2 linked regions of the Schizosaccharomyces pombe genome follow. The protein of the gene in region 2 interacts with the protein of the main gene of each other region in a pairwise test. Each region holds a gene or a part of one and is shown on either strand. Other genes may lie near its edges. The genes, in order: btb3 and cul3.

What was found.
Region 1: the proteins of cul3 (region 2) and btb3 interact in binary tests that used the Schizosaccharomyces pombe proteins (3 or more experiments, as listed by UniProt).

Annotation. Positions count from the first base shown.
Region 1 is NC_003424.3:2,251,297-2,255,225, forward strand, and holds btb3 (ubiquitin ligase Btb3), read right to left. Parts: upstream 2,057-3,929; 5' UTR 1,894-2,056; coding exon 1,685-1,893; intron 1,617-1,684; coding exon 1,525-1,616; intron 1,475-1,524; coding exon 204-1,474; 3' UTR 146-203; downstream 1-145. Other genes in the region: alp11 (tubulin-specific chaperone cofactor B), read left to right, coding at 2,172-2,876; ribonuclease H2 complex subunit Rnh201, read left to right, coding at 3,292-3,929. UniProt on the Schizosaccharomyces pombe protein: Probable substrate-specific adapter of an E3 ubiquitin-protein ligase complex which mediates the ubiquitination and subsequent proteasomal degradation of target proteins.
Region 2 is NC_003424.3:486,980-490,908, reverse strand, and holds the start of cul3 (cullin 3), read left to right. Parts: upstream 1-2,194; 5' UTR 2,195-2,293; coding exon 2,294-2,335; intron 2,336-2,391; coding exon 2,392-3,776; intron 3,777-3,815; coding exon 3,816-3,925; exon of another isoform or gene 3,926-3,929. Other genes in the region: gup1 (MBOAT family O-acyltransferase), read right to left, coding at 1-97, 138-571, 647-893; TIM23 translocase complex subunit Tim15, read right to left, coding at 1,559-1,835, 1,880-2,130. UniProt on the Schizosaccharomyces pombe protein: Probable core component of multiple cullin-RING-based BC3B (BTB-CUL3-BTB) E3 ubiquitin-protein ligase complexes which mediate the ubiquitination and subsequent proteasomal degradation of target proteins.

The sequences.
Region 1 (3,929 bases), 1.8 Mb from region 2:
TCTTTATCATTTAAAGCAACAACTAAAACAAATTACAGCTACCAGTAACACAAAAAAAACGGTGATGGTACTAAAAGTATCCCGTTACTTTATTTTGCAATGCGCAAACTGAGATAAAGCCTTTTCTATGAATTTGAATTTTAATAATGATTAATTTAAACAGTTGAAGTGTTCAAGAAATATTATTTTTTCTACCATTGCCATTAAGCTTGTAGCTCCAGTTTATCTAGTAAATCGTCAATCATCTCCATTTTTTGATTATATTCGCTTTCATAAGGTGTTAATGTATCTACAACTCCATCAATGCACAAATCCTCATGGTAAATGCCAAAACGTTTTGAGAGGAAATAACGAATATCATCAATGAGTTCGATCGTGTCTGTTTCTTGTCTCTGTAAAATTCGATCAGCACTTTCTTTGACTAATTCACAGAATTCAGGATCGTCAATCAAGTGCTCCAAATGATTTGCCATATATTCGGAAGCGTATTGCTCCAGGCGAGGCGTAGACGTATCCCAAGCTGTTCGTAGAATATCGTAAATACTATCTATAGGCTCTTCTTGTTTAGTAATAACTATAGAAGCTAAAGATTTCAAGCTTCTATCTTTATCTAACGACAACATGTCTGCAACGTAAACTACATCTAAAGCTAATTCCGGCGCTATATCAGTTTTGTCGGTATATAAAAACTTCAATACAATTTCAACAACAGAACTTGAAAAAGGTAAAGACAAAACCGGTAGTTCTTGATTGCTTTCCAAAAATGGTCCTGCTAACATGTCCAAAAAATATTCACATCTGCACATGATGGCACGATGGACGGGATAGCGGTGTGTATAAGATTGCAAGTAAGCATCGTGAAACGAATACTGATCGGAAGGTTGGTTAAGAGATTCAATGGGTACTTTGTAGTTAGAGATTATATAATCCAAAAATTCTCCTAGATCATTTTGAGTTTTTGCCAACTGGATTTTCTTCCAATCTCTAGAGTGTAACTGCTCGCGATCTTTTTCATACAATGCGATAAAATCGTTTAACTGGAATTTTTTTCCAATACTCAGAAGAGCATTGTTATACTGTTTGGTGAAAACAGCATTTGTGTCTAAGTAGAGATATCGCAAAATTGATTCAAACTCTTTAGCAAAATGTTTGACTTCAATTTCATGTTCACTGGGTCCCAATTTCGAAAATTTTGATTTAAAATATGAACTTCTGGCAGCTAAATAGAATTTATGAGCAAAAACCCTACCATATTGACCGGCAAAGACTATGTCAGTAGTAAAATGTAAAGCCGAGTTCGACAACAAGGAAGTTATGTGACTAGCATAAGGTTGGGACTCATCAATGGCTTTAGTAATATCATAAGAAAGAAGCATACGGCGAATATTATCATTAAGGGCACCATACAAACATCTTTCTCCTTGAAAAGTATCTCGTTCGCATAAAGCACCATTTTCAAGAAGAAATTTTACAACTTAAGCGTGAGAAAATATAATAATTGAGAGCAAAACATTCATAGCATACCTGGTTCATGCCCGCAAAGACTCGCAAGGACTAAAGGCGAGTAGTCAAATTGGTCTACTTGATTAATAGGTGTGTTATAGTTTTCGACCAAACTGGATTTTGAATTTAGCAATTGCAGTTAAAATTGTTTATCGATTCAATATTTTTAAATTGCACATACCTCTTGACAACTTCCAAATCTCCACGCCGACAAGCTTCACAAAGCTCAAGAAATTCTTGGGTATCATTTACTGTGAAAAGTGAGGAAGACAGCTTCTTCTCATCCATTGCCTTTGACCAAAGGTCATACTTGGAGAAAAGCTTTTTAGAATTTTCACCACCTTGCAATTCGACATGTGTTGTCCCTGTATTTTGATCTTGAGAAGCCATTTTAATAAATGAAGAACAATTAACAACCGATTAAAAGGTTATACTGAGCAAAGATTGCACTTATGTTCAACAGTATTATCGACTTAAAATTTAATTGATCATATGCGAAATGTAGTTGGTTAACGAGGGTTCTATGTAATTGTTCAAGTTCGATGTGATTTGTGAACGACTGACCAAGGCGGCGTCAGCATTTAACTACTACGTCTTCCACCACTTTATATATTCTTGTGTTTTCCGTTTTCATTAATCATATATCTTAAGTTAAAATTATTTGCTACATGAATGAGATAACTCTCTTTATTAAATCTTCCTCTGCAAATGCTGAACGAAGGATTAACCCACAATGGACTGTTAGTCAGCTTAAGACCAAATTAGTTCCTATCGTAGGGACACCAGAACAATACCAAAAACTTACGTATGAACCTGCTTCCAGTACAGTCCCTGGACACGTTTTCACTAGCGAAGAAGAGAATTTAGACCTAGGGGAATTCAAGCTTCAGCCTCTGGGGACTATAGTCGTTGAGGATACACGCCCTCCTCATTTGCGTCTAGACTTTGACGATCTTTCACAGGTTGATAAATATGTAATGCCTCGTGAACAGTATGAGAACAGGACAGATTCTGTCTATGCCTGGAAAAAAAGAAATCAGCTTGGACGATTCAATCCAGACTTTGAAGCAAGTAAAGCTTCTCGACAAGAATCTTTAAAACGTGAATTAGTCGACTTACAAAAAAATTTAAATTCTAGGTGCTGTGCAGCAGGAGAGAGATATGGAACTATTCGCTATATTGGACTAGTGCCTGAAATTAATAATGACAATCTGTGGGTTGGCGTCGAATTTGATGAACCAGTTGGGAAAAATGATGGGACAGTCAGCGGAAAGAGATACTTTAATGCGAAAAATAAACATGGATCCTTTCTTCGATCTTCTGAAGTTGAAGTAGGAGACTTCCCTCCAGAAGATATTTTAGAAGGTCTTTGATGTTGTTATTCGTTTTACAAGGTTCCATGTTAATGATTTCCTTTTTTTTTGTTAAATCTTGTATGCAGGCTTCGATTGCTAGGAGATGACTCGCTTAAGATAATGAACAATTTTCTAAAAAAATGAAAGTCTAAAAAGTAAATCATTTAGTTTAGTCATTTCTCAATTAAAATATTTTTACTCAATCAAAGAAAGCATTATAACTGTAATGAATTGTTTGTCTGGCTTTTCTTTTTTTTTTATTTACATCGTTTTACCGTAGTACCGCTAATTAAAACCACGAACGAAAGAAAACTGTGTTAGGCCTATTTGCGCATTCCTTCAACCCCTTTATTTATTTTTTTATTCAGTTTTTGAGCCAAATATTAGAAGTACTCTGATAATTCTTTAAAAGATACAAAGCAGCAATCTCAACATGAAAGATGATCACGATGCATGGGAACCAGAAGAACTAGTCAGTGACAATAACTCTTCAGAAAATGAGCTACAAGAAGACCAAAATTCTTCAATAACTTTTTTACCACCTTCAGTTAATAAATCGAATCCCGCAAAATCGAATTACTATCATTCAACAGTCACTGATGATATTTCCAAGAGTCAGCCATATCGATTAGGAGTAGATGAAGCTGGTAGAGGCCCTGTCTTAGGACCTATGGTATATGCTGTCGCTTACTGTCCAGTCGATTTCGATTTGACCAACTATGGGTTTGCTGACAGTAAAACTTTGGCCTCCTTAAAGCGAGAGGAACTTCTGAAATTAATTTGCAACAAATCTAACGAGCTAGGAAAAAACGTTGGATGGTCTACTATGTCTATTTCCGCAAGAGAATTAGCTGCAGGAATGCTGAGGTACCGGAACAAGTATAATTTAAATCTTCAAGCACATGATACGACAATTGACTTAATAAAAAAAGTTTATGAATCAGGAATAAATGTTACAGAGATTTACGTGGATACAGTAGGACCTCCAATATCATACCAGGAAAAATTACAAGCTCATTTTCCTCAAGCGAAAGTCACTGTCACTAAAAAAGCAGATTCCCTTTTTCCCAT
Region 2 (3,929 bases):
TTAAGGACCAGTAATAATCCATATTAAATGACACGAGCCGAAGCATGGTAATGTTAAAAAGAACATACCAGCGCTCAAGAATCCCAGTATATTGATCCTGTAAAAAGATTAACATCTGATGGCTAAAGATAGCGTACCAAAAACCCTAGGCCTGGATGAAGGCTAGAAAATTTGCAATAGGCAAAATATTCTTTAAAAAACACCACTGATATATCTAATGTCCATGTCAAGAGTGGATTAAAAATACTGTTCTTTAGAGACTTAGAAATGAGATAATTGATCAATGCAATTGTTAAAACATATATAACGCCAGTCCCGTAGACAAGTAATGCAAACAGCAGGGAGAAGCAAAGTCGATAGTTGTTTTTTATAGCGAGTTCATCATTAGTATTTTTTGTGAAGACAAGCTTAACGAGTCTCCAGAGAAAATTATAGACAATAATTACAAGTAGTAAGATTGGCATATTTTCACGAAACGCGGAATACTGAAAATCAGCGGAATCGACTTTTTGTCCAAACAACCACCCAGGCTTTAAATATTTTTCAATGTTTTTGTAATTGGGATGTTTTGCTGACGCCTAGTTAGTTGCTTACTTTATTTCAAATTGATAAATAGAAAAGGCTGATTAAAGCTTTTGACACTTACGAGAACTAACATAATGAATTTTAAAACAAGCAATTGTTAGAATCGATAGAATGACAGAAAAGTAAAAAATAAATTCTATGGAACCAAAAGCGCTCTTTTCCGGAACTGCGCTTCGAACGGTCAAACGTGAAGATGAAGATGGATGACTTGAACCAGAAGTCGAACTTAACCGTGAACTTTTAGAATTGGGTCTTTCAGTATCTTTGGTCGAAGTCTCAAGAACATCAAATCGAAATAAACGTAACATCCTAGAAGTCTCCTACCAACAGCAAAGAAGATGGTCGGTTCTCAAAATATCATAGAGTAAACAAACCTAGTGGTGTTCACTAGCAAAATGCAAGACACTGCGTAATTTACACTTTGTGTCAGCTTCATAGTCCGTAAATAATTTTAAGAGTAAGGTAGAGAGAGTATGATGAAATCAATTATATTTTTAAAAATAATAAATTCAGTTTGTATTGTTTATTGGAATGAATAAAATAGTCAGCACTATACAAAACGCGCTATTAAAATAGAAATATTAATTAAGCATCTTTAAAGACTAAATTTTGATTTTGGTAAATTAGCAACTTATATATTGAAAAATGTTTTACATTCGTTTGCAATAATTCTGTATAGCCCATTTAGATCTCTAAAATCGTTAATTTTTATAATTAATTAATTAATTTATTTTTTTTTGGATATGATTTGCTCAATGATTGCTAAATTATCACATCTAGTCTAAAAATTCAAAAGATAATTTCAAGTTAACAAGCTCATATAATAATTAAATGTTCTATTAGAACGTCGTATATATTGACCAAAGTATTACAAAAATAAATAAAAATAATATATACTATAGAAATTAAAATAAACAATGACTATATCTTGCAATTTATATGCTCCTAAACCCAATTTGATCGCTCTCCTAGTTCATTTGGAAGAATTGGAAGAAGATGATTTTGCTGGTCGAATTTTAAATTGAGGGGGCTTAAATTCTACAACATTGCCATTGATTACTTGACCATAGCCTTTTTTAAAAGTTTCCCCTTTCTTAGCTAAAATGTCTTCAATCGTCACCCGTTCTTCAGAGAATATTTTTAAATGATCAGCCATCAAGTGCCGATTTTTGCACTTAGGACATTGAACTAAAACGGTCCCATTATGGTAGGCCTGCTTGGAGAAATTGTGATTTGACCTAGTGTTACATCTTTCATTTGGTTAGTATCCTTCAATGAAATTATAAATACTTACACGGTACAAGTAAAAGAAACATTATAAGTCGGTTTAGGTTGTAATTGATCAGCATCTGATTTTACAGAGGGAACACCACTTGCAAGATCTTTAGCATCGCTTTGAGTGAAGCGTTTGCATTGCCAATTAGAAATGTTTCTCACATTCGGGGAACAGAAAAGTAAACTTGAAACCTTTACCTTGTTTGAAAAATTTTTTAACTGCAAATTTCGTAAACAGAATTTTTGAGTATACCGTGCAAAGCTCCACATTATGTTTGAAAAATTTTTGTGTTCGGAGAATGTTGTTCGTAGTTAGTACCTTCTACCACCTTTTGTACCATTACTTCCGTCTGTGCTGGCGTTTCTTTATGCAAACTCATATGCCCATATATTTAGCTTTTTTGTTGAAACTTAACTTTAAATTCCATTATTAATGCAGCGGTCAGCGAAGTTAAAAATTCGAGCGCCACGAAAAGTAAGTGTACCTGATGCATGCTGTCCTTATTATTTTCCTCACATACTGACATTTAGTTTTCTGCTAACCAAGTAGACTTTGCTACACATTGGGAAGTCTTGCAGCGAGCTATTGGGGATATATTTCAGAAAAGCACATCTCAATTATCGTTTGAAGAGTTGTATAGAAATGCATATATACTTGTTCTACATAAGTATGGAGAAAAGCTTTATAATCATGTACAGGATGTTATTAGATCGAGGCTTAAAGAAGAAACTGTTCCAGCTATTTACAAAAACTATGACGCTTCCTTATTAGGGAATGCTCTATTGGATATTAGAAAAAATGATTCCTATTCTACTTCATGGTCGAGATCATTGGAAGCGGCTCATAGATTTTTATCGTCTTTAGTTAATTCCTGGAAGGATCACATTGTTTCAATGCAAATGATATCTAGTGTATTAAAATATTTGGACAAGGTTTATTCAAAATCTGCAGACAAAGTTCCTGTTAATGAAAACGGAATATATATCTTTCGTGAAGTTGTTTTGTTAAATAGTTTTGAAATTGGAGAGAAATGTGTCGAAACTATTCTAATTCTGGTTTATCTTGAACGTAAAGGGAATACAATAAATCGACCCTTAATAAATGACTGCTTAGATATGCTAAACTCTTTGCCTTCAGAAAACAAAAAGGAAACTCTTTATGATGTTTTATTTGCTCCAAAGTTTTTATCTTACACAAGAAATTTCTATGAAATAGAATCATCAACAGTCATCGGCGTATTTGGAGTTGTGGAGTATCTGAAAAAAGCAGAGAAAAGATTTGAGGAAGAAAAGGAGAGGTCCAAGAATTACCTGTTCACAAAAATAGCTAGCCCCCTTCTATCCGTTGTTGAAGATGAGCTTTTGAGTAAACATTTGGACGATTTGCTTGAAAATCAATCAACTGGCTTTTTCTCGATGATCGACTCTTCAAACTTCGAGGGTCTTCAATTGGTTTACGAAAGCTTTTCTAGAGTGGAACTTGGCGTGAAGTCTTTAAAAAAATACTTGGCGAAATATGTAGCGCATCATGGAAAATTAATCAATGAAACTACTAGCCAAGCGCTTGAAGGAAAGATGGCTGTTGGTCGTCTATCATCTAATGCTACAATGGCAACATTATGGGTTCAAAAAGTTTTGGCCTTATGGGATAGACTAAATACAATTATAAGTACTACTATGGATGCTGATCGGTCTATCTTGAACTCTTTATCAGATGCTTTTGTTACGTTCGTAGACGGATATACCCGAGCCCCCGAGTACATTTCACTATTCATTGATGACAATCTGAAAAAAGATGCTAGAAAAGCAATAGAAGGCTCTATTGAAGCAACACTTCAAAATTCTGTTACGTTATTTCGGTTTATTTCAGAAAAAGATGTTTTTGAAAAATATTACAAAACACACCTTGCAAAAAGGTATGCTTTAATTGTTTTTACTGTCTTTAACACTTTTAGGTTGTTGAATAATCGATCAATATCTTCCGATGCAGAGCTCGGAATGATCAGTAGGCTGAAACAAGAAGCTGGTAATGTTTTTACTCAAAAGCTCGAAGGAATGTTTAATGGTAA